3 linked regions of the Xenopus tropicalis genome follow. The protein of the gene in region 2 purifies or fractionates together with the protein of the main gene of each other region. This does not show direct contact. Links are inferred from orthologs where the notes say so. Each region holds a gene or a part of one and is shown on either strand. Other genes may lie near its edges. The genes, in order: mafg, bach1 and fam83d.

The links.
Region 1: the proteins of bach1 (region 2) and mafg purify together in Homo sapiens (affinity purification with mass spectrometry; 5 studies listed by BioGRID and IntAct, counting the BioPlex papers as one, with this or other methods). This does not show direct contact. The link is inferred for Xenopus tropicalis from reciprocal best matches to the Homo sapiens genes BACH1 and MAFG.
Region 3: the proteins of bach1 (region 2) and fam83d purify together in Homo sapiens (co-immunoprecipitation; 3 studies listed by BioGRID and IntAct, counting the BioPlex papers as one, with this or other methods). This does not show direct contact. The link is inferred for Xenopus tropicalis from reciprocal best matches to the Homo sapiens genes BACH1 and FAM83D.

The regions. Positions count from the first base shown.
Region 1 is NC_030686.2:27,979,515-27,989,725, forward strand, and holds the start of mafg (transcription factor MafG), read right to left. Parts: upstream 5,358-10,211; 5' UTR 4,282-5,357; coding exon 4,231-4,281; intron 1-4,230. Other genes in the region: pycr1 (pyrroline-5-carboxylate reductase 1, mitochondrial), read right to left, coding at 10,072-10,211. UniProt on the Homo sapiens protein: Since they lack a putative transactivation domain, the small Mafs behave as transcriptional repressors when they dimerize among themselves.
Region 2 is NC_030678.2:16,547,891-16,558,011, forward strand, and holds part of bach1 (transcription regulator protein BACH1), read right to left. Parts: intron 9,934-10,121; 5' UTR 9,922-9,933; coding exon 9,649-9,921; intron 6,288-9,648; coding exon 4,986-6,287; intron 651-4,985; coding exon 444-650; intron 1-443. UniProt on the Homo sapiens protein: Transcriptional regulator that acts as a repressor or activator, depending on the context. Binds to NF-E2 DNA binding sites. Plays important roles in coordinating transcription activation and repression by MAFK.
Region 3 is NC_030686.2:40,349,815-40,360,035, reverse strand, and holds the start of fam83d (protein FAM83D), read right to left. Parts: upstream 4,616-10,221; 5' UTR 4,545-4,615; coding exon 4,095-4,544; intron 1-4,094. Other genes in the region: ppp1r16b (protein phosphatase 1 regulatory inhibitor subunit 16B), read right to left, coding at 8,029-8,484, 9,779-9,929, 10,161-10,221.

The sequences.
Region 1 (10,211 bases), on a different chromosome or scaffold from region 2:
AAACTGAAACATTTGCAAATACCTTCAAATTAAAGCCTGGAATGTGCACTTTAATCACATCTGAATTGTTTCATTTAAACTTTTACACTGAGGAGCAGAGGTGTAAATCAAAGGAAAATGTAGCTTTGTCCCAGACATGGAGGGCACTGGATATTGGGCCATATTTATCAAAGACTGAAATATATTAAAGGGACTGTAACCTTTAAATTAACTGTTGAAGTGATGTAGACATTGATATTCTGAGGCAATTTTCAATTTTTAGTTTTGTGGTTTTTCAGTTATTTAGCTTTTTTTTAGTAGTTATCTGGTTGCTATGATCTCGTTACCTTAGCAACCAGACAGTGGCTTAAATGAACGACTGGAATATGAATAGGAGAGGGTCTGAATAGAAAGATAAGTAATAAACATTCCTATGTTTGCCAGCATAACACAGGGTTTCAAGGAGTCATAAAGCGTATTTTGAAACCTCCCTTATTTTATAGGCAATGAATAATACAGGTTAATCCTGAAACCCATTATCCAGAAGTCTCTGAATTTTCTCTGTAATTAAAAACAGTACCTTTTACTTGATCCCAACTAAGATAAAATTAATCCTTTATTAGAGACAAAACAGTCCCATTGCGTTTTTTTTAATATTTAAATAATTTCTTTGTAAATTTAATGTATGGAGATCCATATTCCAGAAACATCCTTTATCTGGAAAACCCCAGGCCTTGAGCATTTTGGATAAAAGGTTCCATATCTGTATATGGTACAGGTTTTATTCTGAACTAAAGTGATCATTAGCTTTAAAGGAACAGTAACACTAAAAAATGAATGAGCTTTAAAGTAATAAAAATATAATGCACTGTTGCCCTGCACTGGTAAAACTGGTGTGTTTGCTACAGTAACACTACTATAATTTATATAATAAGTTGCTGTGTAGCCACGGGGGCAGCCATTCAAGCTGGAAAAAGGAGAAAAGGCACAGGTTACATAGCAGATAACAGATAAGTTCTGTAGAATACAATAGTGTTTTATCTGTTATCTGCTATGTGCCTGTGCCTTTTCTCCTTTGAATGGCTGCCTCCATGGCTACATAGTAGCTTATTTATATAAATTATAGTAGACTTTCTGAAGTAAACACACAACTTTTACCAGTGCAGGGCAGCAGCACATTATATTTTAGTTACTTTTATACACTTTCATTTTTTGGTGTTACTGTTCCTTTAACAATGGAACCTTTTCCTGTAACTTTCACCTTTCAAGTATATTGTTTATCTCGTTTTTTTTCCTTCTAAAACTAATAAAGTTATAGAAAAAAGGACCCTTTATTGGAGCTCCCAGCTGTCCCATCTATGGCCCCTTGTCCATGTATGAAATGAGTAATGAGCATGTCCTAACGGCCCCTGCAAAAAGGTTTCAACTTGGATCCCTAGTGATCCAAAACATATTTTCTTAAACATCCCTAAATAAACTGAATGCACTCACACTATTGTTTTGGTCTCCACTGGATTTGGTGAGAATATGTTTCACTTTCCTTCTATATTTAGAGGAGTATAATGCACTGACACATTCTATGTCCCCTTTAAGTTGTCCGTACACTGGCAGAACCTGTATGGTATCCAACTGATCAGCCACAGAGCCAAATAGACGGATACAGAAACAGTACAAGTGGCCATGCACTGGTTGACAGATAACATTTTCACACATGACCAATGAACCATGTACAGCATGCATATACAGTGGTGTGAAAAACTATTTGCCCCCTTCCTGATTTCTTATTCTTTTGCATATTTGTCACACTTAAATGTTTCTGCTCATCAAAAACAGTTAACTATTAGTCAAAGATAACATAATTGAACACAAAATGCAGTTTTTAAATGAAGGTTTACGTTATTAAGGGAGAAAAAAAACTCCAAATCTACATGGCCCTGTGTGAAAAAGTGATTGCCCCCCTTGTTAAAAAATAACTTAACTGTGGTTTATCACACCTGAGTTCAATTTCTGTAGTCACCCCCAGGCCTGATTACTGCCACACCTGTTTCAATCAAGAAATCACTTAAATAGGAGCTACCTGACACAGAGAAGTAGACCAAAAGCACCTCAAAAGCTAGACATCATGCCAAGATCCAAAGAAATTCAGGAACAAATGAGAACAAAAGTAATTGAGATCTATCAGTCTGGTAAAGGTTATAAAGCCATTTCTAAAGCTTTGGGACTCCAGCGAACCACAGTGAGAGCCATTATCCACAAATGGCAAAAACATGGAACAGTGGTGAACCTTCCCAGGAGTGGCCGGCCGACCAAAATTACCCCAAGAGCGCAGAGACAACTCATCCGAGAGGCCACAAAAGACCCCAGGACAACATCTAAAGAACTGCAGGCCTCACTTGCCTCAATTAAGGTCAGTGTTCACGATTCCACCATAAGAAAGAGACTGGGCAAAAATGGCCTGCATGGCAGATTTCCAAGGCGCAAACCACTTTTAAGCAAAAAGAACATTAAGGCTCATCTCAATTTTGCTAAAAAACATCTCAATGATTGCCAAGACTTTTGGGAAAATACCTTGTGGACCGACGAGACAAAAGTTGAACTTTTTGGAAGGTGCGTGTCCCGTTACATCTGGCGTAAAAGTAACACAGCATTTCAGAAAAAGAACATCATACCAACAGTAAAATATGGTGGTGGTAGTGTGATGGTCTGGGGTTGTTTTGCTGCTTCAGGACCTGGAAGGCTTGCTGTGATAGATGGAACCATGAATTCTACTGTCTACCAAAAAATCATGAAGGAGAATGTCCGGCCATCTGTTCGTCAACTCAAGCTGAAGCGATCTTGGGTGCTGCAGCAGGACAATGACCCAAAACACACCAGCAAATCCACCTCTGAATGGCTGAAGAAAAACAAAATGAAGACTTTGGAGTGGCCTAGTCAAAGTCCTGACCTGAATCCTATTGAGATGTTGTGGCATGACCTTAAAAAGGCGGTTCATGCTAGAAAACCCTCAAATAAAGCTGAATTACAACAATTCTGCAAAGATGAGTGGGCCAAAATTCCTCCAGAGCGCTGTAAAAGACTTGTTGCAAGTTATCGCAAACGCTTGATTGCAGTTATTGCTGCTAAGGGTGGCCCAACCAGTTATTAGGTTCAGGGGGCAATTACTTTTTCACACAGGGCCATGTAGGTTTTCTCCCTAAATAATAAAAACCCTCATTTAAAAACTGCATTTTGTGTTTACTTGTGTTATCTTTGACTAATAGTTAAATGTGTTTGATGATCAGAAACATTTTGTGTGACAAACATGCAAAAGAATAAGAAATCAGGAAGGGGGCAAATAGTTTTTCACACCACTGTATATGCGCCAAATATAGTATTAAACTTAGTTTCACACCATGTTATCAGTACCTGCATAGCCAGTTAATCAAGAGAGGCCGAGAACTCCCAGTTGTACACATTAGAGATGGGAAGAATAAAAGAGGCACAGAAAACAGCTCTCCAGGCAGAATACATTCAATCCATTTATAAGGCAAAAGCCCAGAAGCCTGCATTTAATGAATACATTTATAAGGCAAGAGAATATAGTCTCTGCACCTGCTGAGAGTCTATGAATTTCTGTTAGCAACCCTTTTCCCCATACAGGGCGCACATTGCATATTTCCACTGTGACTGCAGAAGATGAAAAAGCATACCTTTTCTGCTATCCAACAGGGAGGGGGAAGGAGGGAGAAGGGGGAGCAAGTGGTTCCATTCAGCCGACAGAGAACCAGTGTGGGGCATGTCACTCACACAGTGCCTGGCAGCACATCCAATCACAAGCAGAGGGGGCGGGGCAGAAGATGGACTGCTAAGCAAGGAGGCAGGCTGCATGATCAGTAGCTGAATTGCCCAGGATGCCAGGATGAAAGGAAACACAACACAATGTGTGCCTTCCCATCTGTAAATAAGCCTTGCTTGTCTCCAGTGCCCCTGGACCCATACGCCTTGGAACAGGGCAAATGGGGCTTATGAATCAAACATGCAGTTCAGCCTGTAATTGTCATATAGATGAAAGAATACCATGCCCCACCCCCCTCCAAAAAAATTTGCATTCCCTTTTCCGCTCCAGGCGTTTCAATGAATATTCTCTCTTTTTTGTTCCTAAACTCAGAGCCCACACAACTGACAGCTGCTGTGCAAAAATAATTTTCCCTGTACAGAGCCCATGTCTCATATTTCTACTGTGACTGCAGAAAATGAAAAAAAAAAGCATACCTTTTCTGTTATCCAACAGGGAGGGGAAGGAGGGGGAGAAAACGTTTCCATTCAGCTAACGGAGAACCCAGTGTGCATCATGTCACTCACACAGGTTCTGGCAGCACATCCAATCAGAATTAGAGGAGGGCAGGGTGACAGATGGACAGCTAAGCAAGGAGGCAGGCTACAGGATTAGTAACTCCGTTGCCCAGGATGAAATAAAGAAGCGTTTGCAGGAATTTATGACCAGCAAACAATATTTATTCTAGGGATAGGATTGCCACTTAGCAACAGCTAATGGGTTTAGCAACTGCCTCCTGAAGATACACTGGGAAAATACATTTGTACCACTGGAACCACATTTCTGTGTTCCCCGGCAGAGGAGCTTGTGGCTTTAAAGAGGTGGGAGCCAGCACAGGTCTGATCTGTGCTTATTGGACAATGTGATATCACAGGAAGGGGAGTAGCTGAACGTGGAAGATTTTTTTTACCGGAAGTCTGTCGGATGACAATTCTAAAGATAAGGGAATGTTTTGAAAGAGCAGAAATTCAAATAAATATTATAAAACAAAGATGCAGTTCAGGTTGTAATTGTCATAAAGATGAAGAAAGGACAAAAGTTTTAGATAAGAAATAGATAAGTATAACATTTAACTACCTAAAAGAAGGTTTGGTTTTGTTGGTAAGCATTGTAACCCTATTACTATGGGAAGTATCCTGGGTTCTTTTGAAAACATCTATATTTATTAAAATGCTTCCTAACGTGAGGTTTAGCATTAATATCTTAGCCTTATATCCATCCTTAACTTCATGGATGAAATTTGGACCAAAGTGGAAGGAGGAAGCAACATTAGGGGAGATCTGAAGTCAGATGCTGCAGCTGAGCAAGACTTTCTTAGGCTGGTCACATGGTTTAAGGTTTGGCTAAAGGATACCATCAAATATTACATGTTACTGGAAATGAAATATTTCATAGTCTGCAGTGACTACTACTGTGTTTCATCCTAGTTACAGGATGTTTACAAACAAACTTTGAGGGTCTAGGCTCTAGGGCCTGCTTGTCATGGAAGGCAAATGGATAAAACTGAAATCCCTTACACTTAGGGGCCCATTCATTAAACCACAATTTTTATTTTTGAGAAAAAATTGTATTTTTTCTAATTTATTGAACTTTTCGTAATGTCCACGATAATTTCATTAAAATGTCACAACTTTTTCGTGGTTTTCGTTAACTTCCACAAGAAAGTCGTATTTTTCGTAAAGACTGCAATCATTTCGGAATTTATTCAAGCTTTGGTATCGTGACTATCTTTTGGCCAAGTTGGGAAGGCTTTCAAAATCATGCATTGAAGGTTTCAAAGCCAGAAAGGTTTTTGGGCCATTTCTGAACGTTCAGATCCGAAAATTTTGTGACTTTCAAAACGAACCATAATATTTTCGTACGACCGATAAAATAATTTTCGAACATCAGAAATTATCGTGGTTACTCTAAATTTTTGGCATATTGTGATTTTAACCACAAAAAAATTGTGTTAATCGGAAACGTAATACAGTTATAGGAGATATTTGAGCTGCCTGATAATATTTTAATGAACTGAGAAAATTTAAACCATCACTTTTCTTATGTTTACATAAAATGGCACCCAAAACACAAGGGTAGCCATGATTCCATATGAACCTGTTTAAAAGTTTTTGTGAAGTAATGAGCCCAGTCTTAGGTACTGGAATAAGTAGGGAGTGAAAAAAATATAGTTTTGGTAAAATAAACATCTTCGTCCTAACCAGGATATTTTGTATTTAGTCCATTGGGATAATAAGTTCTTACTTTTTTTCCCACATTGGAGGATAGTTCAATTTGTAAAGAGAGTATACCTGGAGCGTGAGGTTTATTCATATATTTTCAAATGGGTAGTTTTCCAGGAATCCAAATGGGTCTTTTTATTAACAGTGGAACCGTGAGATACTCCTAGTTTAACAACTCTAAGGGTGAAGACACATGGAGCTACTTAGTAGCAGCTACTTGTCACAGCTATTAATGTGCACTAAATAACATGGCTGCGTGCGCTAGGAGCTCTCTCCAGGTGCAGGTGGCTCACCTGCGATGAGGCTGTATTTAAAAAAAACAAAAAACACAGGATAGGATAAGAAAGAGTACATAAAAAAACTGTTGAAGGATAACTAGATGGAAAAGGAAGAACAAAACAAAAATTTTAAGCAACTGTATAACCATGGCAGCATAGCCAGGTACCCCATAGGCCAACTACTCTAAAGGAGATAAGGGGGGGGCTTACTGCACTGACAGTAAATCCAAGAAAAGGATTTACCAGTAAGAAAATCTCATTTTCTCTAGGCTGCTCTTCCTGTCCTGCAGACGTATGGGGACATCCAAAAGCTGTACCATAACTTGACTGGGAGGCAGGCCCGGATTTGTGGAGAAGCCATAAAGGCCTGGGCCTAGGGCGGCAGAAATGTAGGGGCGGCACGCCCCCCGCAACAGGGTTTTTAAAGTTTTTTTCCATTCGGAGCGGTGGGAACATCTTATGGGACTTTAAATGTGTGCGTATGCGTGCTCGCAGGTGGTTGTTCACTCGTTCGCGCATGCGCGTTGGGGGGGGGGGGGGTCAACGGGGGTGGCCTAGGGGCGCCCAGAAGACAAATCCGGCCCTGCTGGGAGGGATAAGAAGGCCCAGCAACCACTTGCAGCAAGGCATGTCCAAAGCATGTCCAACAGCCAAGGCAACTATGATGGGCCAGCAGAACTTTGTACATGTGTGAACTGGAAGCCATGTGGATGGTTGTATATTATTCTGGAGAGGCTGTAGTTCCGAGGAGCAGAAGTAGTGACTCTTTTGCAAAAGGAAAATTGGCTATTGTAGGAAAAGGAGGACTGGTCCCCCATTCCATACACTCAAGTTCATGTCATCAGTGCAATACCTGTTTATATTCACTATTAAGTTCCAGGTCTGGCAACTATTTAAATAACACTTGGAAGGGATATAGCCTTCAAGACAACCTTGTTTCTGTAGATGACTGACAAAGGTTCATTGGTGGAGAAAGAATGGAGTTCAGACTCATTTTCACTTGGCAAGAGAATATGTAAAATATGGTATTTGAAGCAAGGTACAATAATATAGGTTGAGTGGTTCGTCCTTTGTGAAGAATCAATTAGGGCCCCTTAGGGACACATGGTTCATGTAGGGAGGATTGTTATACTATCAAACTGCTTAAAGGGGAACAATCATGAAAAATGTTTTTATAATATTGAAAATATAAAGTCTAGACAAAAATTTTGACAATTTATAACTTGCATTGTTACAAAGTTATGGAAAATTACTGAAGCAGCCTCCCATCTCCCACCCTTCAGAATCTCTGGCTCCCTGGTCTGCGTCAGTGACGCAGAAATGTGTGAGTGACAGAGCAAAGTGGAAGCTCATTTGCTGTGGCATGTCATGTGGCCACACTCAACAGCAAACATGTGCAAAGGGAAAATAAAGGAATGGAGCCGGGCTGGGTGCTGGTGAAGCTGCATTTGTACATTAACAGTAAAGCAACTTGTTGTTTATATCCATATATACACAGCACTTCAGGCATTTGGGTTTGTGCTGCTCACGAGCAGGCTTAGATCCGTCACCCTCTTGCAATTTACACATGCAGATACAAATCTTACTTCAATAGCCAGATACAGATGTAACAAGAGTGTATAAAAGAGAATTCCTCCATTACAGTGACACATCAATTTCAGCAATATTACAGAACTCAGTTGCAAAGGCAACTGAGTGTGTACAGCCACATAGATTCCTGTATGTTGGATTCACAGACACCTATGTCTCTCAGTCAGAGCTCTCATGTAGGCCGACTAGCCAGACTTTCAGCTTCTTGATTGGCCAGCTGTCTAATCAGTCCCACCTGGTCAGTCTGTAGCATTTACTCTGTAATAACCAGTCTTCCTAACAAATCGATTAGCAGGGGATATGTGTCTTCTTTCATGTTTTTCTCATACATTACCAAAAAATAAATTTCTAGGTGTTCGTTAGTACCAGAGTAAGTTAGGTTGAAAAAAAGACACACGTGAATCAAGTTCAACCTTAATGCTTATAAATAACCTGCAAAACTGCTGGCTGCTGAGAGGAAGGCAAAAAAAACCCTTCCGATGTCTTCCTAATTTGCCACAGAGAGGGAAAAAATAACTATGCATGCACTATATTTGTTGATCAGGCCCAGAGGGGGAGAAAATAACTATGCATGCACTATAATTGTTGATCAGGTTAAGTGCATTCTGCACTGAGAGTAAATGCACTCCTAAAAGGAGGAAGGCAAGTACAGAGAATAGCACTTCTATGGCATCTGCTGCTCTGTTGCCTACATGTTGTACTAAAATTAACCTATAAGGTCACAGGACCTTACTGTTACTGAAGTTAACCAGACGGCTGTACCTCTTGGAGGCCAATGAATCCCCTAGGCATGAGCAAAGGGGAAATTAGCCCAAATCCTCTTCTGGCCTCCTGGGCCATCAAAGAGGGCCCCAGAGGGAACCCAATAATTGCAGCCACCAACCAGGATCTCCCCACTTAGCAACCGTGTTTATTGTTTTGAATGTACACCTTGTCAAAAAAATTCTGATGACAATGTACATGAAAACATGTTTATTTTTGTATACAAATGTAGTCTTGTTTGTTTTTATAATTTTTCAGTAAACTTTGAGAACAAAAGAACAACTATGTGTTTCTATTCATGAATTGTATTACTTTGCCTATAAAGTTTTATGTATTCCAATGTAGTGGACTTTATTGCTGAGATGTTGTACTTGCAGTTTATCATACATAATTGCGATACAGCCACTGTTACATTTAGGTTCATATGGAGAGGGAGACAACATTGTTGTTTAGTCCCATATAGATGTGCCAGTGCATGTGCCTTAATAATGGTACAATGTATCTTATTATAAAAATGCAAAATATATATTGTTGGCTTTAGCCAATTGACCAGCTTGATCGTACAGGCATATACAAGTTTTTGTATAAAAGCCTGTGCCTGTGTTTTATTCACAACAGAGATTTGACAAAGAACAGGGTACTTTTAAATTGTTAAATTGCATTTTGCTCTATCAAATTAAAGAGTTAATTTGTCTGAAGTAAGAACAGATTGATCCATGTGCAGTCTGAAAAAAGAGAAGTTGCTCTTTCAGTCTTTATGCCCTTATTCAGCTCTTTCTCTTACTTGGTCTTTTAGTCCCCTGTCAGGAGAGAAATTGCTATTTTTGCTCCCTGAACTTAAATAAGTTAAAAGTAATAAAATTATAAAGGAAATAATGCATCCCATTTTGTAAAATATAAGGATATTATAAGTCACCCACGGAGTTCGATGACCATATATGGCCATGAGGACAAGGGCCATGGAACACTATTTCAAAGAGTCACGTGACACAAATTACAGTAAGCATCATTTATAAGGATATAATTTACAGGATATTCATGGCTCGTGTATTATATACACATGTGAATTGGCAAGTAACCCTTCATTAGTTTTAACTGCTGATGCAGTTAGTTCAATTTATAGTATACATATGGCATTTCTATTTGTTTTTAGGGTTTAGCTCTCCTTTAAATTTGGATATGACAGGGTAGGTATACATATTAATTGCTTGGTTACTTGTCTTTTTTCAATCTAAGTTACTAGTTACATATCTTACAGATAACCGTTGGCTTTAATTATGTATATCAAAATTAATTAAAATGTAATGGGGGAGATCAAAAGGTTTAGATCAGCCCCTCTTCACACATATTGTGAGACCTAGCCCCAATAATACCCAGTCCCAATTTCAGTTCTCAAGCTAGTTTCTTTATGGCTTTATTTTTCCTATTAAAACTTTTTAACTCCTGCTGGGTACTTATTATTAAATAGACTGACTTTTGATCCCTGAGGGGCAGTGGATATTGAAGGAGATTCCTGTTGGACTTTGCTCAATGTTGTCTTCTTGATTGCTGCTGCTGGAATTTTCT
Region 2 (10,121 bases):
CACTTAAGCGATAGGAAGAAGAAGCAATCTAACAATGCAGATACTAAATACTGGAAAATCTTAGTGTGTTGACCTAACAATAAAGGTGGCCTCTTAGGGCTCTGGCACACGGGGAGATTACTCGCCCGCGACAAATCTCCCTGTTCGCGGGTGACTAATCTCCCCGAAATGCCATCCCACCAGCAAAAATGTCCTCTCAAGGCAACTTCCGCGATTTCACTGAAATCGCGCCGCCGCGTATGCCATCCCACCGGCGATTTACATTTTCGCCGGTGGGATGGCATTTCGGGGAAATTAGTCGCCCGCGAACAGGGAGATTTGTCGCGGGCGACTAAGTGTATCTGTTAGAATAGAGTAACGGAATCTCCTGATAAGAACTATAAACAAGATAGATATTTAATGACGAATATAAGGAAGAGGCATTTCAGCAAAATAACACATACCAGTTTAAGGATTTCACACTCCAGGTTCTGGATGCAATCTAGTTTCCGCTTGCGACATCGCTGTGCAGCTATTCGATTTTTACTTCTGCGCCGTATGTCATGGATACAGTCCAACTGCTCGGCCGAGAGATTGTGCCTTTTGACCAGTGATTGGAAGTCATATCGGGAAAGGGAAATTATTTTTTGTGCGTTGAATGGCAGTTTTGTCTGGGGAAAAAATGTTCAAATTTAGCAAAAAAATAAAATGTAAAAAACCATATGCATAACTTCTGCAATTAAACCATCACAAGATACCAATATAAATACCAATGGAAATTAATATATCATTTAGTAAAAGTCCAATGAAGGACAAAAATATTAGACATTTGGATTTCCTTGATGCATGAAATTTCATTACAGATAGAATTTGAAATTAGTGGTGAATAAAGTTCTTTCTTCGAAATAATAAGCAACTATCACAACTTATTAAAGACATACATTAACCCTATTAAACAAATATAGCTTCCTGCTCTGCACTAGTTTGAACAGAGCCTTCTGTAGGCTGCCAGCCCATATAAGCTACCAAATAGCCAATCATAGCTCTTCTTTGGCACCCATGAAATTTTATTAATGCTTGTATTGCTTCCCAACAATTTTTCCATTTGAATGTGGCTCATGTGTATAAAAGGTTGGGGACTCTTGCTCTACATGTTTCCTGCCTGCATCGTATGACTTCCCGATCCTCCCCTATCACTACAGAAGTGAGTCGGATCTCAAGAAGTGTCGTTGCAGAAAGTCTAGATCTCCACTTTTCTGGAAAGGTGTCAAGACTTGGTCCTTTCAACTGACACAAGGGCACCCCCTCCGTTTAGAAGGGAGGTTCCATTTAAATATTCGGAAAGGATTTGTTACAGTGAGCGCTGTGAAGTTGTGGGATTCCCACCCCGAGTCGTGCTGGCTGATACATTATATAGCTTCAAGAAGGGGTTGGATGGCTTTTTAGCAAGTAAGGGAATACAGGGTTATGGGAGATAGCTCTCAGTACAAGTGAGGGAATACAGGGGTAGGGGAGATAGCTCTCAGTACAAGTGAGGGAATACAGGGGTAGGGGAGATAGCTCTCAGTACAAGTGAGGGAATACAGGGGTAGGGGAGATAGCTCTCAGTACAAGTGAGGGAATACAGGGGTAGGGGGGATAGCTCTCAGTACAAGTGAGGGAATACAGGGGTAGGGGGGATAGCTCTCAGTACAAGTGAGGGAATACAGGGGTAGGGGGGATAGCTCTCAGTACAAGTGAGGGAATACAGGGGTATGGGAGATAGCTCTCAGTACAAGTGAGGGAATACAGGGGTAGGGGGGATAGCTCTCAGTACAAGTGAGGGAATACAGGGGTATGGGGAGATAGCTCTCAGTACAAGTGAGGGAATACAGGGGTAGGGGAGATAGCTCTCAGTACAAGTTGATCCAGGGACTGGTCCAATTGCCATCTTGGAGTCAGGAAGGAATTGTTTCCCCTCTGGGGCAAATTAGAGAGGCTTCACATGGGGTTTTTGCCTTCCTCTGGATCAACTAGTAGTTAGGCAGGTTATATATAGGCATTATGGTTGAACTTAATGGACATATGTCTTTTTTCAACCTAACTTACTATGTTACTTACTATGTTACTAAACTGGAGGCGACCTTTGTGTCTGGGTCCATATAACCCAATGAAAATCTACTTTCCCCAGCTTTTATATAAAATGATTCACTGTTTCCCGGAATCAGACATGCTTTATTTTGACAATAGAATCCCTGTAAGCCATGGGCTATAGCATATAAGCTATATAGCACCTACAGAAAAGCTCAGTACATTCTTTTCAGCTTGATCTATGTTGTGCGTTTGATCTGTGCTGCATGTTGTCTTGTAAACAAAGAGCCGACCGCAGACACGCAACGCCTTAAAGAACCAACTTGGTGCCAAGTATGACTATATGAACTCAGAGGCTCTTTCCTAGAATGACGTTTGCACTAGAATCATCCATGTAGGTTTGTATTGAGAGGACAATGTAAGAACATATTTTTGGCTTAAACATCTGCTGAATCAGAATGAATGTATATTACTAAAGGGCATACAACATACTACAAACAGCCTATGTCATTTATCTGTATATTTGTTGGAGAGGGTGAAACATACATTAACTGGTCTTAAACATACATTAACTTGAAATTCATTTTGTTTAATTGGTGGAGCTTCTGGTCACAGGATACCTAGCTAGGCACTACAAGGTAATGCCCAGCCGGGAATCCAGGGAGCAAAAGCACTACAAATATAACGAAATTATACTTGTTCAATCAAGTTCAACATAAACTCACCAATTAAACATTGCCAGCACCAGATTCAAACATTTTTAAGCAAAAGTGTTCCTCAAAACTTCCTTTTTCCCCTACATCATGGCCCAGTCATACATGGGCCACTATAGGTTTATGAGTCCATACATGAGGCCAAATAGCTATTTGGGACGGGCAGAAAATCCCATCAGGCGAGGACAATATCAAGCTATGAATGCAGTCCTCCTGATACGGCTGTATATGATCCTATATGATCCAATCACTGGCTCAAGGATCACCTGGGTGGCTAAATACGTCTGTCAGGGGAACTGGCCAAATGCCAAGGTCTGTGTATGTCTGTTTAGTGTGTATCTCCCTGACCTTTTTAAAATTATGATCATTTATTTCTATAGCGCCAGCGAGTTACACAGCACTTTAATTGTTTGTTATAAATAAATATAAACAAACAAGGATAAAACTAGGATAAGTGTGAAATATCCTGCAATAGGCAACAGTAAAAAATAACCTTATCATAAGTGTTTTGGGTAAAAACCGTTATGAAACCCTGCCAATAAGCTTTCGTATACAGGTATGGGATCTGGCATCCAAAAACCCACTATCCAGAAGGCTCTGGATTATAATTAATCCAAAAAGTTATTTTGGGAAGGCCATTTCCCATACCCCCCATTTTATGAAAATTTTTAAAAATCATTTCCCTTTTTTCTGTAATAATAAAAAATGTACCCTCTATTTCTTAGTACAGGTATGGGATCCCTTATCTGGAAACCTGTTATCCAAAAAGTTCCGAATTACGGAAAGGCCATCTCCCATAGACTCCATTATAAGCAAATAATTCTAATTTTTAAAAATAATTTCTTTTTTCTCTTTAATAATTAAACAGTACCTTGTACTTGATCCCAACTAAGATATAATTACCCCTTATTGGGGGCAGAACAGCCCTATTGGGTTTATTTAATGGTTAAATGATTCCCTTTTCTCTGTAATAATAAAACAGTACCTGTACTTGATCCCAACTAAGATATAATTACCCCTTATTGGGGGCAGAACAGCCCTATTGGGTTTATTTAATGGTTAAATGATTCCCTTTTCTCTGTAATAATAAAACAGTACCTGTACTTGATCCCAACTAAGATATAATTACCCCTTATTGGGGGCAGAACAGCCCTATTGGGTTTATTTAATGGTTAAATGATTCCCTTTTCTCTGTAATAATAAAACAGTACCTGTACTTGATCCCAACTAAGATATAATTACCCCTTATTGGAGGCAGAACAGCCCTATTGGGTTTATTTAATGGTTAAATGATTCCCTTTTCTCTGTAATAATAAAACAGTACCTGTACTTGATCCCAACTAAGATATAATTACCCCTTATTGGGGGCAGAACAGCCCTATTGGGTTTATTTCATGGTTAAATGATTCCCTTTTCTCTGTAATAATAAAACAGTACCTGTACTTGATCCCAACTAAGATATAATTACCCCTTATTGGGGGCAGAACAGCCCTATTGGGTTTATTTAATGGTTAAATGATTCCCTTTTCTCTGTAATAATAAAACAGTACCTGTACTTGATCCCAACTAAGATATAATTACCCCTTATTGGGGGCAGAACAGCCCTATTGGGTTTATTTAATGGTTAAATGATTCCCTTTTCTCTGTAATAATAAAACAGTACCTGTACTTGATCCCAACTAAGATATAATTACCCCTTATTGGGGGCAGAACAGCCCTATTGGGTTTATTTAATGGTTAAATGATTCCCTTTTCTCTGTAATAATAAAACAGTACCTGTACTTGATCCCAACTAAGATATAATTACCCCTTATTGGGGGCAGAGCAATCCTACTGGGTTTATTCAATATTTAAATGATTTTTAGCAGACTTAAGTTAGGGAGATCCAAATTACAGAAATATCCCTTATCCGGAAAACCCCAGGTCCCGAGCATTCTGGATAACAGGTCCCATACCTGTACTACTACTACTTCTTACTTCTAATTCTTACTAAAATATCATTAATCCTAATTGGAGTCAAAACAATCCTATTGTTTTTAATTCATGTTTAAAATATTTTTTAGTATACTTAAGTTATGGAGGTTCAAATTACAGAAGGATCTGTTATACAGAAGACTCCAGGTCCCGAGCATTCTGGAAAACATGTCCCATACCTGTATAAAAAGGGGGACACCATTTTTGTGATATACTTCCTGGACTTGAAATCTAACAACCTGGATTTACCTCACATTCCTGTTCTTTAGCGGAACAGGACTCCTCACTGTCGTCCTCGCTGTCCGTTTCCGAGTCGCCTTCGGGAGTCATGGAACATGCATATGGACAGGTCGTGTCTTGCTGTTTCTCCTGAATGCACTCCTCCAGCATGAGTTGGGAGTTGTTGGCACAGCCCTCGCTGGAGAGGGTATTGATGAAGGGGCAAGAGACCGAGTTCAGAGTTGTAAAAGTCCTCTCACCGCCCTCACTGATGGTGATGTTCAGCCACGGACACTCTTGCCTTTTTTCCTCATTACTTTCCTCACGTGATTCTTTATTATTAGGCACCATTTCTATCTCTGGCTGGCAATGAAATTCGCTGTTGTAAATATCAGGCCAAAAGCCTTTTGCAAGATGTTCCGCTACTTCCCTTTCTACATTGCTGCGTTCCTCGGGGACACACAAATCGGGTCCTGGTAGCTCCTTTGTGCTGGATAAATCAGCTGTCGGACTGACATGCTGGTCACTGTTGGGCTTCTCCGGCAGAACTTCTATAGTGGGGTCCGGCACCTCGTTGTAGTTTAAGCTTCTGTAGGGCTGAAATGAACATTGAAATGGCGCAGGGTTAAAATCCTGCTGTCCCAGGGGAAAACTAGGAGGGAACTCAGCTTTGCCACTGGTCTTTTCCTCACAAGGGAGGTTGAGGTATGTAACATTGATGTCCTGTGGATTTAACTCATTCCTCTCCATTTCTAGAGGCTGATTTTGGGATCTGGCCATAACAACATTTTCCGAAGCCTCACTCGACTGGACAGGCAATGGGCTTGGAACATCCTGGTTGCTGGAGCATGTGCTTATCGATCGAACCCGGTCGCTCTTAAAGGCTTTCTGAAACTTCCTGTATTTTGGGCAAAGGGCAGAACTGTCGGGGTCATTCTCCCGACCAAAGCAGAATGTCTCACAGGGCTTCTTTGGACTCTCGGAAACTGTCGATATGTTTTCAATCTCAGCCGCGCATTTGATTTTTGAGGGGAGCTCTGCTCTCCAAAGTTCCTCAACTTCATTTATTCCGACGTTGGTGGGCACGTCAGGCTGACGCTGAACGTTTGCCTTAGGACAAAACGACTTGCAGCATTTCTTCCGAGGGCATTCCTGAAGGTCGGCTTTGAGGTCTTGGTATTTTAATTTGAGAAACTCAAAGCAGGCTTCTTCTATATCATGGATGTCCAAAATCTTTGCACACTCTTGGATTGCTAATAGGTTGTCTTTGTTGACGTGGAGTTTGGAGGTGTAAGCAAAGTGCAATAATGGAACAAAGCCCTTCACGGTTACCTACAAGAGAAAAGAGCCTTTTTATAGATGTTGCACACATATATGGATATCTCGTGCATTTACTGATTCGGTTATATACATGTAACACATTTGAACACAGTGGTGGGCAAAGCTTGTGAATATATATATATACCCAAACCTGGAACCCTGGGATGGCACCCCTCTTTACTGGAAAAGGGACCCTAGAAGCGGTGCTCTATATGGTATTTCCCACTGTTACTTTGCAAAGTGCATGCACATTGTGGGTGGCCCTGTCCTCAACAGCCACAAGGAGTATTTGGGAAATTTAGTAAGATTTGTGGCACGGTGTTCCTATGGTAAGTACCGAGGTTAGCAATTATATTCCCTGGGGGATAGGGATGCACCGAATCCAGAATTCAGTTCGGTATTGGGCCAGGATTCAACTTCTTTCAACAAGGTTTGGATTCGGCCGAATCCACGGTCCTGGACGAACTGCTTTTGGGATCTATGCCTGCACTATGCTGCACTATAACAGTGACACAATGAAAGTTGTCAAACTACTGCAATCAGCAGTATGCATCATAGTTATAGATATGGAATAACAGCTTTGTGTGGCTCTTTCTTCTTTTAAATACAATCATATACTATATCATTGTTTGGCCTCTGGAAAGCAAAATACATCAGACACAATCAGAGCAATCATGGCTGCTCCTAGTGATTTGATGCGAACATGCAGATAAGTACAAAATATGACAATGTTATTTAAAGGCGCAGTTCACCTTTAAATACACTTGTAGTATAATGTAGAAAGTACTATTCTGAGACATTACAAAAAAAAAATTAAAAAGGAATGTTAACAAAGGTTTCTTAATCAGCAACCGTGCGGCATTTTAGGCCTTTAACTTTTAGTATGGCCTTAGCTGCAGAGCTGGGAGTTATTCCACAGTAGCAGGAGTACACATAGGCGGATTTTCAATAAGGCTAGGGGAGGCTAAGCCTCCCCAAACCTGCTTGGCACCTTGAAAAAACAAAACAAAAAAAACAAACCTCATTCAGTTTCTGCACTGCCCTGGAAACCTTCTGTACCTGCAAGCCGATTATGCTGTGCTCCAACTGGATCTTTCTTCTTGTGGATTCTCCAATCAGAGCACAGCTTTCTTGACTGACAGTAAAATTGACCAATCAAAGCACAGATGCGCACAGGGATCGGGTGATTTTGCAAACTGAAGGCAGTGCAGAAATAAAGACTGAAAAGAAGAATCTGCAGACTGTAACTTTACCTGAGAACCAACTCTCAACTTTTGCTGGAGATTTCATCCCACTCCCACAGGTGCTATACCCAGGTACTGTACCCAGGTTCTATACACAGGTGCTATACACAGGTACTATACAGTTCTAAAGGCTAAATCACTAGTTGAAATTAAATAGTTTTTTGCCTGATCTGACATTTATAATATCCCTATCCCCTACCCTAACATATGAATGGTAAGTTAACTCTTTCCCCCTGAAAAAGCTCATTGTGCTTTTATATATTTGTTGTTTTTTGCACTTACTATTTTTTTTTTTACTTTTGTCATTGTTTTGTTCATAGTTACAGTGGGGCCAATGTTGTGTATTGGTGCCAGTGTTATAGTGCCAGGGCCAGAATATCAGCCATCTGTACCCACTGCTTCTCATGGCATGTAATATGCTGGTTTTGTAAATACAGACTGCGTCTCACTATATATAATGTGCCTGGGATGTCAGTACCCACTGCCTCTCTCTCTATAAAACTAACTTAAACACATATAAAGGGGAGGTTCATTTTTAAGTTAACATTTAGTATGTTATAGAATGGCCTATTCCTAGCAACTTTGCAATTGGTCTTCCCAATTAATTTTTTTATAGTTCTTGAGAAATTTGCCTTTCTCTTCTGCCTCTTTCCAGCTTTCAAATGGGGATCACTGACCCCGGCAGCCAAAAAGTGAGGCTACAATTTTATTATTATTGTAATTTTTTATTACTTATTTTTCCATGCAGGCCCCTTAACTATTCATATTCCAATCTCTTGTTAAAACCACTACCTGGTTGCTAGTATAAATAAGACCCTAGCAACCAGATAGCTGCTGAAATCAAATGGAGAGCTGCTGAACAAAAAGCTAAATAACTGAAAAACCATTAAAAATAAAAGAAGACCAATTGCAAATTGTCTCAGAATATCAATGTCTACATTATATTAAAAGTTAATTTAAAGGTGACCCCCCCCCCTTTAAGCTAACTGATCCTAAACACAAATGGATGGAGACCCCCTAACAGAAGCACACGTATGAATACGTTTACATCCTAAGCATTTTAGGGTAAAAAAGCCCTCCCACCCACACTTTTGCACAGAATCCCTGGGAGTCAGTGGGAACGGCAAGAGATAGTTGGGAGGTTAATTTTTTACACCAGCAGCAAATCCACTAAGTCTCACATTAGCTGTAGGTCAGACTCTGTATGGCCCATCTTTAGCCTCCCCAAACAAAAAAGTCACCCTCCGCCTATGGGAGTACAGCATGCCTCTCTCTATACAATAGTACAGGTATGGGATCTGTTATCCGGAAACCCATTATCCAGAAATTTCAGAATTATGGAAAGGCCATCTCCCATAGACTCCATTATAAGCAAATAATTCTAATTTTTAAAAATGATTCCCTTTTCTCTGTAATAATAAAACAGTACCTGTACTTGATCCCAACTAAGATATAATTACCCCTTATTGTGGGCAGAACAGCCCTATTGGGTTTATTTAATGGTTAAATGATTCCCTTTTCTCTGTAATAATAAAACAGTACCTGTACTTGATCCCAACTAAGATATAATTACCCCTTATTGGGGGCAGAACAGCCCTATTGGGTTTATTTAATGGTTAAATGATTCCCTTTTCTCTGTAATAATAAAACAGTACCTGTACTTGATCCCAACTAAGATATAATTACCCCTTATTGGGGGCAGAACAGCCCTATTGGGTTTATTTAATGGTTAAATGATTCCCTTTTCTCTGTAATAATAAAACAGTACCTGTACTTGATCCCAACTAAGATATAATTACCCCTTATTGGGGGCAGAACAGCCCTATTGGGTTTATTTAATGGTTAAATGATTCCTTTTTCTCTGTAATGATAAAACATGTTTTATTATTACAGAGAAAAAGGAAATCAGTTTTACAATTCTGAAGTATTCGATTAAAATGGAGTCTATGGGAGATGGCCTTTCCGTAATTCGGAACTTTCTGGATAATGGGTTTCTGGATAAGGGATCCCATACCTGTACTGTAGTCAATCAATGGAGGACTAAACATCTGACAAAATGCAGGGCAGGGAGGATGGACAGAAGCACTGAGTAGACTGCACAAGTGCCCCTACACAGAAGGCATTCTCACCTCTTCAGGCAACGTAATGATAAAATCGCCATCGCACGGCTGAACGAGCCGCGATAAGAAGTAGTCACTGCAGGCAGCGAGCACCGTCCGGTGAGCCAGGAATCGCTGATCTTCCACAACAACGGTCACATCACAAAGGATCCCCTGCTCTCTCTGGCTGCCAAGCCGACGCAGAACATTGCTGCTGTGCACAGAAGACTCGTAGGCAAAGGCGGCATCATTCTTCTCATTATAAGACATCCTGGGCTGCAGACTCGCAGAGCATGCTTCCATCTATCACTGCAGCTGTAGGGCACAAAGGAACATTACTATTATACTCCCTAACAGCAGTGCAACACACACTCACACATGTATATATGTCAGGATAGCTTTATTGGAATATTGGAATATTTCTGAAGCAATACGGGGCTTTCTGTTGGCTGCCAGAAACATCAACAGTCAAAACACCCCTGTCCATCACTCTTAAAGGAACA
Region 3 (10,221 bases), on a different chromosome or scaffold from region 2:
CCCCCAGCCCAATAAATAGTGACTGTCTATGGCATCTTACAGCAGCCCCTCTGGCATTTGCCTGAACCCACAGATTGCCAGTCCAGGCCTTACAAATAAAGATAACCCCCTCTTATAAATATGGCATATTTCCCCTTTAAAGCTCTGATTACCTGGCTACAAACTGGGTCTGCAGAAAACATGAAAAAAAAAGCTCAGACACAATAACAATCAGCTACCAAAACACAAATAAGGAACCATAAGAGAATTATGGATAAGGAGTAGATTAACTGCCTTTATTGGTAGCCAACGGTTTTTATTTTGGTGGCACTATAGGAATACAGTATACTGATCCCTGATGGTTCCAACTCTTGCAATATTAATGCAGTGGCAGAAAAAGAGGGGAATGGAAGCATCTGCAGAGCCATAGGACAAGCACAGGCACATAAATGCCAGACTTAATTGGGTTTTTATTTTCCCAGCATTGTCAGAAGTCCCTTCAGGGAGTACAGTAATGTAGATACTATGCTTACAGTGCAGTGGGTGTTTAATTGCTCAGGGTAACCCCCAAGGGCATAATAATAATAAATGCACACAAGCAGTAGTCCCCATTGAACCAAGAGCCATATATTTATATGGGGGCGGGGGGTGCCTTGGGCAAGGAGGTTAGTAACAATTTCAGTTCTAAAACCACCTTTATTCAGTATTCAGACAAATGGGACCTCTACCTATTTAATCATAATTTAATTTAAAAAAATAATGGTTCTATTCTCCATTAGGCGTGTAAATCAGCTGGTTTCTGCTATATTGTTTCAGAAGTTAGAACCAGTAGTGCAGAGAACATAAACAGAATAACTGAAAGACGAAAGGACCAGCGACACCATGGTTTCCTAGGCTCCTCCACTGGCACAGACAGATTGCTTTAGAGCCCTGACTAAAGCGTATAAATAAGTTGCTGTGTAGCTATGGGAACAGACATTTGTGCTAAACCGGGCAATAGGGCACAAGCCTGCACAGCGCGTGACAGATGAGCTCGAGACAAAAGCTTAGAAACAAGGGCACTTGTTTCCAAGGAAGAGTCTTTGTAAGCTAGATGAACAGATTCATACGGTAAAGGGAAAAAAGGATTTTCGCATGATAATCCCGGGGGTCAAGCAATGTTATCTATATATCTGTTTTGGTTTTTTTTTTTATTATATATATATATATATATATATATATATATTTATTTAGTAGGCCAGTAATTAGCAAGTGGTGGCCCTATAGACCCAACTTAAGGCATCAAGAGTGCTCAGCGACTAAAGAAAACGACTGATTACCAGGGGTTCCAAGTTAAGAAAAGCGCCTCAAGTGACAGTGTCCCACGGGTTACCGGGGCAGGTAAAAGCTGCTTCTGGTAACCTTAATTTTTAAAGAGCTAAAATTCCATTTTTTAAACTGGAAATACAGCTCCTATAGTGCAGAAAGAGCAATTGCACTAGTAATGTGAACCCTCCATGCCATTGTAGGGGCACAAAAAAGCTCTTCTGGTCAGCATTGCAAGTAAAAGGGCACGGCTGTTCAAATTTTTTACTTATATGGGGCAGAATATTGCCAATGTGGGTGGCAGTTACCCTTTTTTGGCAGGGAGTTTATGGGAGAAGAGGACGGGTTCCTCGGGGGTGATCCTCTAGAATTGGAAGGGCATAGTCTTTTCCATCATACATTAACCATTATTGTGGGCTTAGGGTAGTGGTCCCCAATCACTAGTCCGGGGACTGGTGCCGGGCCATGGGCTGTGCTGAACAGGCCACCTCTGGTCCCAATTACCTGTGATCCCAACTCCCCGATGTGTTACACAGCCATGACAGCTATGTGAAGCCCAGGAAGCTTTCTACTGATCACGACAAGGACCAAAGTACTTGTATTATTAAGCTGTATGTAATAATAATAAAGTGCATAACATAACATTTAATAATTACATTATATATGTAATTAAATGATATACTATGAACTAGTTGTGCCACCCCCCCATCCCTGGTCCTTGGAAAAATTGTCTTGCTTGAAACCGGTCCGTGGTGCAAAAAAGGTTGGGGACCACTGGCTTAGGGGTTAATTCTATGAATGAGAGGAAAAAAGAAGAGCTTTTTGGAGATATGAATATACTTGCCATATTTAACCGCCCCTGGCACTGCAAGCATACCTCCTGTATTACAGGGTCCCCTGAGGGGACTGCTGACAAAGCTGGGGGAATTCTCACAAGGCACCCAGAGTCCTACAGTTTGTTTCATGATGGAACTTGCCGTGTCCCACCTGCAGTAACAGGCACCCCTTCCCTGCTTGCTCATATCCCACCCATACCTCAGCATTGGGCTTACACATTCCCTCTGGCTTCAAGCAAAACAGTTAAATGAACATCTACAGAGCAAACGAGAACCCAAAGGGGACATAGAGATGATTTGTTTTTAGATACAGTGCAAGCTTGGCTCAGGCTACACCGGACGATGCTGGTAGTTGTAGTTCAACAAGTGACAAATCAAATTAGTAGCTGCTAGAAATAAAATCTTTTTCCTTGTGTGTTAATATGCCACCCTAAAAACCCACTATTACAGCAAGAAGTGACAGCTACAAATATCCCTGAAATGCCATCCCACCGGCGATTTACATTTTCGCCAGTCGCGTATGCCATCCCACCGGCGATTTACATTTTCACTGGTGGGATGGAATTTCAGGAGATTAGTCACCCGCGAACAGGGAGATTTGTCGCAGGCGACTAATCTCCCCGTGTGCCAGAGCCCTAAGGGAGTCGCCCGCGAACAGGGAGTTTTGCCGCGGGCGACTAATCTCCCCGTGTGCCAGAGCCCTAATGGTACACAGGGAGATTTGCAGCATTTTCTCCCCCCAGGGATTTATTTACTTCAAAGGAGTTGGGTAAGGATAAACAAACCCCTCCTTAATGGAAAACAGCACAGTCACATCTTGTGGCTTAAAATGCAGAGACAAGGCACAATGGTGGCATTTCCCATTCAGTTTAGTGGAGGGGGGTGGTTGCAGGACTTTGTTCTCCTCCCTTGAAGCAATGAATCACTGGGGCGACTGGGGGAGCCTGGTCCCCCCCCTGCCTCCCTTGTAGTCCTACCACTGAGTTGGGCCCAAACAAAGGATAAACAAGCATACCTTTCAGTAGTAACTTGCATTTACAAATAACCATTGGAACTCTATAAAGGATACTGAAAAGTTGCTTAGAAATGTTTGGGTGCATCTCCCCTTTAATCCTAGTGTGTATCCTGTTTCTCACTCCCACCCAAGGCTGTTTTATGGCATTTTCCCAGGGGACAAGGGGGGCCCTTGAAAGTAAAATAAAAAAAGCTATTAGGGCTGTGACACAATGCCTTCCCCATGGGCTAAAATGTAAATCGCCGGTGGGATGGCATACGTGGCGCCGCGATTTGCTGAAGTCGCTGGTTTCCTCTTAGGGCTCTGGCACATGGGGAGATTAGTTGCCCGCGACAAATCTCCCTGTTTGCGGGCGACTAATCTCCCCGAGTTGCCATCCCACTGGCGAAAATGTAAGTCGCCGGTGGGATGGCACACGCGGCGGCACAATTTCGTCAAATCGCCGAAAATGCCTCACAAGGCGCAGCGTGTACCATCCCACCGGCGACTTACATGTTCGCCGGTGGGATGGTAGTTCGGGGAGATTAGTCGCCCGTGACAAGGGAGATTTGTGCCAGAGCCCTCAAGGCAACTTCGCCGACTTTCGCAAATCGCGGCGCCGCGTAAGCCATCCCACCAGCGATTTACATTCTAGCCAGTGGGATGGCATTGTGGGGAGAATAGTCGCCCGCGACTAATCTCCCCGTGTGTCACTGTCCTTATGGTGAAGACACACAGAGCTACGAGTAGCAGCTACTTGTTGTGGCTACTAAAACAGACAATGCTGATCATTTACTGATAATTGTCTCTACGTGTGTTTTAGCAGAGGCAATTCTCAGTATTGTCTATGGCAGGGGATTTTCTGGTGTTTTGTAGCCGTGACAAGTAGCTACTACTAAGTAGCTCTGTGTGTCTTCACCCCTAAGGAGACAGTATCCCAATACTAGGGGGGGACATTCCCGATTTGCCCCCAGCCCTACCTCTCGGGCCGATTTGATGAGCTCCCGGGCCGCCTCCTTGCAGGTATAGATGGTGTCCCCGAAGCTGGGCTGGAAGTGCACATCCACCCGTGTGACGCCGCGGTACGAGCCGGTGCTGAAGGCCGGCCAGCCCAGCTCCAGGATAGGCGGCTCCACGTCCGAGCGATCGGGGAAGTAAGTGACGGACGAGCAATCCACCGAGGCGGACACGGAGTTCTCCTCATCCCCGCACGGAAGCACCGAGGCGCAGCCCAGGATCTCCCCCACCTCCGGCTCCGACAAGAAGTTCGGCAGCCGCTCCCGCTTCAGAAATCCCCGCATGGCTTCCGGGCCCCCGGATACTAATTCCTCCACCGCCAGTCGGTGAGCCTCGTTATAGTGATCCGGGGGGCCCTCCGGCCAGCGCCCTCCCATGGGCATATCATCCAGGCACTGGGAGTTATTAGCCATTATTGGCTGCTAGGGACCTAACAACCCGGAGCCGCTCCGGGAACAGAACTGATGGGCTGTGAGACTAGCGTACTTATCGGGCATTTAAATCCAAACAAGCCCGGGGAGCGCGCTAATTGGTGGAGCCAATCACACCCCCGCCTGCTGATTGGACTAGAAGCACCCAGAAACGCCCATGCTGTCAATGCCGAGCGCTCACTGGCCAATTAGCTCAGTACTGTACTTATGAAAGGGAAAGGCTGGGAAACCACTTGTCTGCTGCCTGAGTGTCGGTTTGTCCCCAGGGCTTCACAACCATAGGATTATACCAAACATGGAAAAGGAGGGGGGGGGGAGGAACTACTATGTCATCTATATACTGTACAGTAGATTAGATCAGTGGCTCTCAACCTTCCTACTGCCACCACCCTTCAATACAGTTCCTCATGTTGTGGTGACCCCCAACCATAAAATTATTCCTAAAACCATGGGAAATATGTGTTTTCCCAAAGGGATCCCGACCCACAGGTTGAGAACTGCTGGATTAGATGAAATATAGATAGATAGATAGATAGACAGACAGACGGATAGACAGATAGACAGACAGACAGACGGACAGACGGACAGACGGATAGACGGACAGACGGATAGACGGATAGACGGACAGACGGACAGACGGACAGACGGACAGACGGACAGACGGACAGACGGATAGACGGATAGACGGATAGACGGATAGACGGATAGACAGACAGACAGATAGATAGATAGATAGATAGATACATGATAGATAGATAGATACATGGATAGATAGATAGATAGATACATGATAGATAGATAGATACATGATAGATAGATAGATAGATAGATACATGATAGATAGATACATAGATAGATGATAGATAGATAGATAGATAGATAGATAGATAGATAGATAGATGATAGATACATAGATAGATGATAGATAGATGATAGATACATGATAGATAGATAGATAGATAGATACATAGATACATAGATACATAGATAGATGATAGATAGATAGATGATAGATACCAAACATGGAAAAGGTGGGGGGGGCATCATTTTAGGTAGGACCCCTTAGTGATATCCCCAAAGCATCAAAGAAGCCATTGACCACCAGTTTCACCCCTTCAATCCACATATAACCCTAAACCCCTGCTCCAGGACTGTGACTGGCTGGCCTGAAGTATAACCCAACAGGGACGCAATGGGGCAGCTTGTACTGAATGCAAGCCCATTGGCATAAAACCCAGCGGCTAGAACCTGGCAGAAATGCTCACCCATACCATACCTCCCAACATTTAAAAAATGAAAAGAGGGACAAAAAGATTTGGCGCGCGCAGCATGGCAATTTTTGACCACGCCCACTTTTGTAACCATGACCCAATTACCACACCCCATTTTTAAGAAAAAAAAAATACTCCTTTTATATAGTTGAAATGGCAGGATCAGACGCAAAATGTGCTATACCCTCATACTGTACTACCTAAGGGAAATGATATAGCAACTCATACATATAAAATACAAATATAGAGAGAAGGCAGTCAGTTATAAGTGAGTTATAACTATGTACCAGTTTTGCCCCCAATGGCCCAATAGATAGTACCCCCCATACACAGTTCCCCCATACACAGTAACCCCCATACAAAGTGCCCCATAGACAGTACCCCCCATAAAGTGCCCCAATTGCCCCCATAGACAGTACCCCCCATAGAAAGCACCCCCAATTGCCCCATAGAGAGTAGCCCCCATACACAGTGCCCCATAGAAAGTGCCCCAAAAGACAGTACCCCACATACACAATGCCCCCATAGAAAGTGTCCCCAATTGCCCGCATAGACAGTACCCCCCAAATACAGTGCCTCCATAGACGTTCCTTCTTCTTCTGCGGCTCCTTAAAGGGTCGCGCCCCGTGTGTACATGTGACGTCAATACGCACGGGGCGCAGCCTTATAAAAGGGCCTGTTGCCGCCGCACAAGGAGAAACATAAGTAGCCAAACTGCAGAAGAAGGAGCGTCTATGGGGGCACTGTGTATTTGTCCGGGACAGCGGGATGCACTATAAAAACCAGGACAGTCCCGCAGAAAGCGAGACATTTGGGGGGTATGCCATAGGAGCACCCCTATTTAGCTCTCCCGCCATATTTTCTAGGTTTGAGATACTAAATCGCTGAGAAGCTGTGAGACACCCTTAATAAGGGATCAGAAAAAGACACAAGTGACTCTCCTTAAAATGAGCTTTATTATAAAAGGAGCTTGGAATACACTGAACCTGTAAAACGTTTAAGGGTCGCGGCTGATTATCGTGGGGTACACGTGCGTAATAACAGGCAAATACCGCTCTAACTCCATATCAAACCCCTCTCTGCATGAGATTTATTGCCTTGAAGTCAGTCCAATCTTCCTGCAGATGTGGGGGGGTGAAACTGCAAAGAAAAGTGTTTGCTGTAGGGAGCAATAGTGTACTGGGGAGACTATTTCCTGCTACCCTTCTGACTACCGGACAGCAGTCCTGCTTTGCTTTTCGGCAGGAATTCTAGTCCTACACTGAATATCAGAGCGCAGGTCCCACAAGGCAAAGCCAGATACTTATTAACACTCACTACACTGCTGCCTGTGGGTGCCTGAGGCAGAACAGAAAGGAAAGCTTGGCTGAAGCTGAGTAAACAAAAGCACTGGACAAATATAAATATATAAATATATGAAATATGAACCTTGGAAGGGCAGAAAAGAACTCCGCACAAGTAAAGGCTGCAGTAAATCGTGTGATGATCCCTTTTAGGCGTTTATTGGGCAGAACTGGCAGATCAACTGCCTCCTTTCTGCTGTCAAATTCTATGTTTCTTGGTTACCCAGTTCAGATCACAGGCCGGTTCCCCTGACCACTAAGGACCATAGTGTATTAATTACCCCATGGTGTCTTAGGGAGAACTGCAGTACTATGTCTTTAATCATCCTCCAACAACCCCCATAAAGGGAATAGGAAACGCTCTGCCTATGGCAGACACTGTGGTGCCAGCTGGGCAAGGCCGAGTACTTCTCAGCAGCGCCCACTTATGCCCCATTTGCCCAAGTTATACCAGTCCATTACATACAGCAGTCAAACTGTTGTAAATAAACAGTTCACCCTCAAATTTACACCCCTCTGCATATTTACACCCCCGCAGTACCTGTACAGAACTATACAGCTCTGTGGATATACATTGTCGTGTATATACAGATATAAAGAGCCCTGCATTTACAATGGTAGATTCTGTACAAGTATACACTACATGGTGTACATACAGCCAGATTTGTGTACAGAAGAGGTACTTGTAAAACTCTGTATAGGCAGGTAGAGTGGGGTGTTCTATATACAGCTAGATACAGGTCAGTATTTACAGGCATACATGACTTCCTATGTACAGATATACATGAAACTAGCATGCATTGCACTTGTACGCTATTCCAGAACATTCTCTCAAAAGCCACGGCCTCCAGTTTAGGATATCCGACAGCAATGCAATATTCTCGTCTCCTCCTCTTCCTCCATGGGAGATTTTAACCTCAGGATGGGAGGGTCCCCACTGGTTGGGGTATAGTAAACGGGCCCCCCATTGGAGCACCAGGGAGGTGTGCCGGGGCTGTTATAATCTAGCCCTGTGAGCCTCTGCAAGTCGCTATTGTTCTTTAGCATCAGTCTCCCCTGTTTGGCTGCAGACCTTTGCCTTTTCAGTTCAGACAGAGTTAGGGGGGCTTGGTCCAGGATGCTGCTCCACAGGGGGCTTCCGGTATAACAGGGCAGGGAGTGGCTGATGTTACCGTTTGTAAGTGGCGTTGGCACCGGGATATCAGGCAGCGGAGAAGGGCAGTAGCAGGAAGGCAGAGGAGGGCAGAATCCATTCCGGAACTGGGATTCAGAAGGGCCCAGTGTTTGCTCAGAATCCAGAGAAGCTCTCTGTGTAGAAGATTGAGAAGTTAATTACTGAATGATAACAGATTATCATTACATTCTGGTGGCTATGGCACAGGAGGGTTGATTGCCGCAGCAGCAACTCAACTGCTCACTTTACTTCCATCGCAGATTGTAAGATTTTAGGAACAGGGCTTGCCAATCCTAGTTTTATTCTGCAACACTTCTATTTGTAGCATTTGACCAGAAATACTGGTCAAATGCTACAGATCAAAAAGCCAACTGGAAAATAAAGCTGCCAGTACACAGGCCAATAAAAACTGGACACTTGGCCTCTCCTGATCCAAGTTGCCAGATTATTGGCCTGTATATTGGGCCATTGGGACAGCCTTCCTGACCTATGGAGGGTCCTCCCCAAAGGGTCTCCAGACCTATTGACCAAAGATCAGCATAATTTGGCACTGCACATGAGTGGCCAAATTGGGCAAAGATCCATTCACGATTTATTAACTTTTAGTATCATGTAGTTAGTAGCTTTCTGTTCTGTCCCTTTTCTATTTACCGTCACATTACCCCATATGTGTTTAGCTAAACCCATTTGGTCAACAGAAGAGTCTGCTCTTTACAGCAGTAATAGGCAGCAGTTAGTCTGCTCTTTACAGCAGTAATAGGAGGCAGTAAGTCTGCTCTTTACAGCAGTAATAGGAGGCAGTAAGTCTGCTCTTTACAGCAGTAATAGGCGGCAGTTAGTCTGCTCTTTACAGCAGTAATAGGAGGCAGTTAGTCTGCTCTTTACAGCAGTAATAGGCAGCAGTTAGTCTGCTCTTTACAGCAGTAATAGGCGGCAGTTAGTCTGCTCTTTACAGCAGTAATAGGAGGCAGTTAGTCTGCTCTTTACAGCAGTAATAGGCAGCAGTAAGTCTGCTCTTTACAGCAGTAATAGGCAGCAGTTAGTCTGCTCTTTACAGCAGTAGTAGGCGGCAGTTAGTCTGCTCTTTACAGCAGTAATGAGCGGCAGTTAGTCTGCTCTTTATAGCAGTAATAGGTGGCAGTTAGCCATGTGATCTCTGGGTTAGTGCCAGGTGCACTTTAGCATGGACTACCTTCCTTGAGCCCCCATAAATCTGTGCCGGGGCAGTGCTGCCTACAAGCAGCTTCTATAGCAATACTGATTACAATCAATAGCCAGAACCATGCTACCCAGCTCCAAACCCTATAGTCCTATAGTCTCTTTCAAACACTGATTCACATTGTTTCTGGCTCCTACCAGAACCCTGTCTGTCTTCTGGTTATTCAGATGACTGTTCTTAACTATCAATGCAGTTACTGGTCAGGTTACCTGCTGTACTTCTGGGCTGCTCTCTTCCTCATCCTGGGTGCCCTCTGTGTTCCCTGAAGACACCAAACATTGCCACACCACTGCCTCCTTCTCATATTCCCTTCTGTACAGGTTGGTCCGCTCTGACAGGCTGGCGCGCCGCACCACCTTACTGGGAGGAGACACAGAAAGGATGAGAGACGGTGCTGATAGGAAGAAAGGCAAACACTGAAGGGACAAGGGCATCAGATTAGAACAAGTTACCTACAATCATATGGTTTTGCCCATTTCCTCTCACTTTCATATAACATTTAATCTCATTTTTCTTATGCTCCTATGCTTCTTTTAGTTCCTACACTTGCTAATTTCACAGGACACTATCCATGTAACTGAGTATACTGACCCATGGCTCCCGGTGCTGGAACTTCTGCGGCTCAGAGAAGACTTGTTCTTCTGCTGAGACT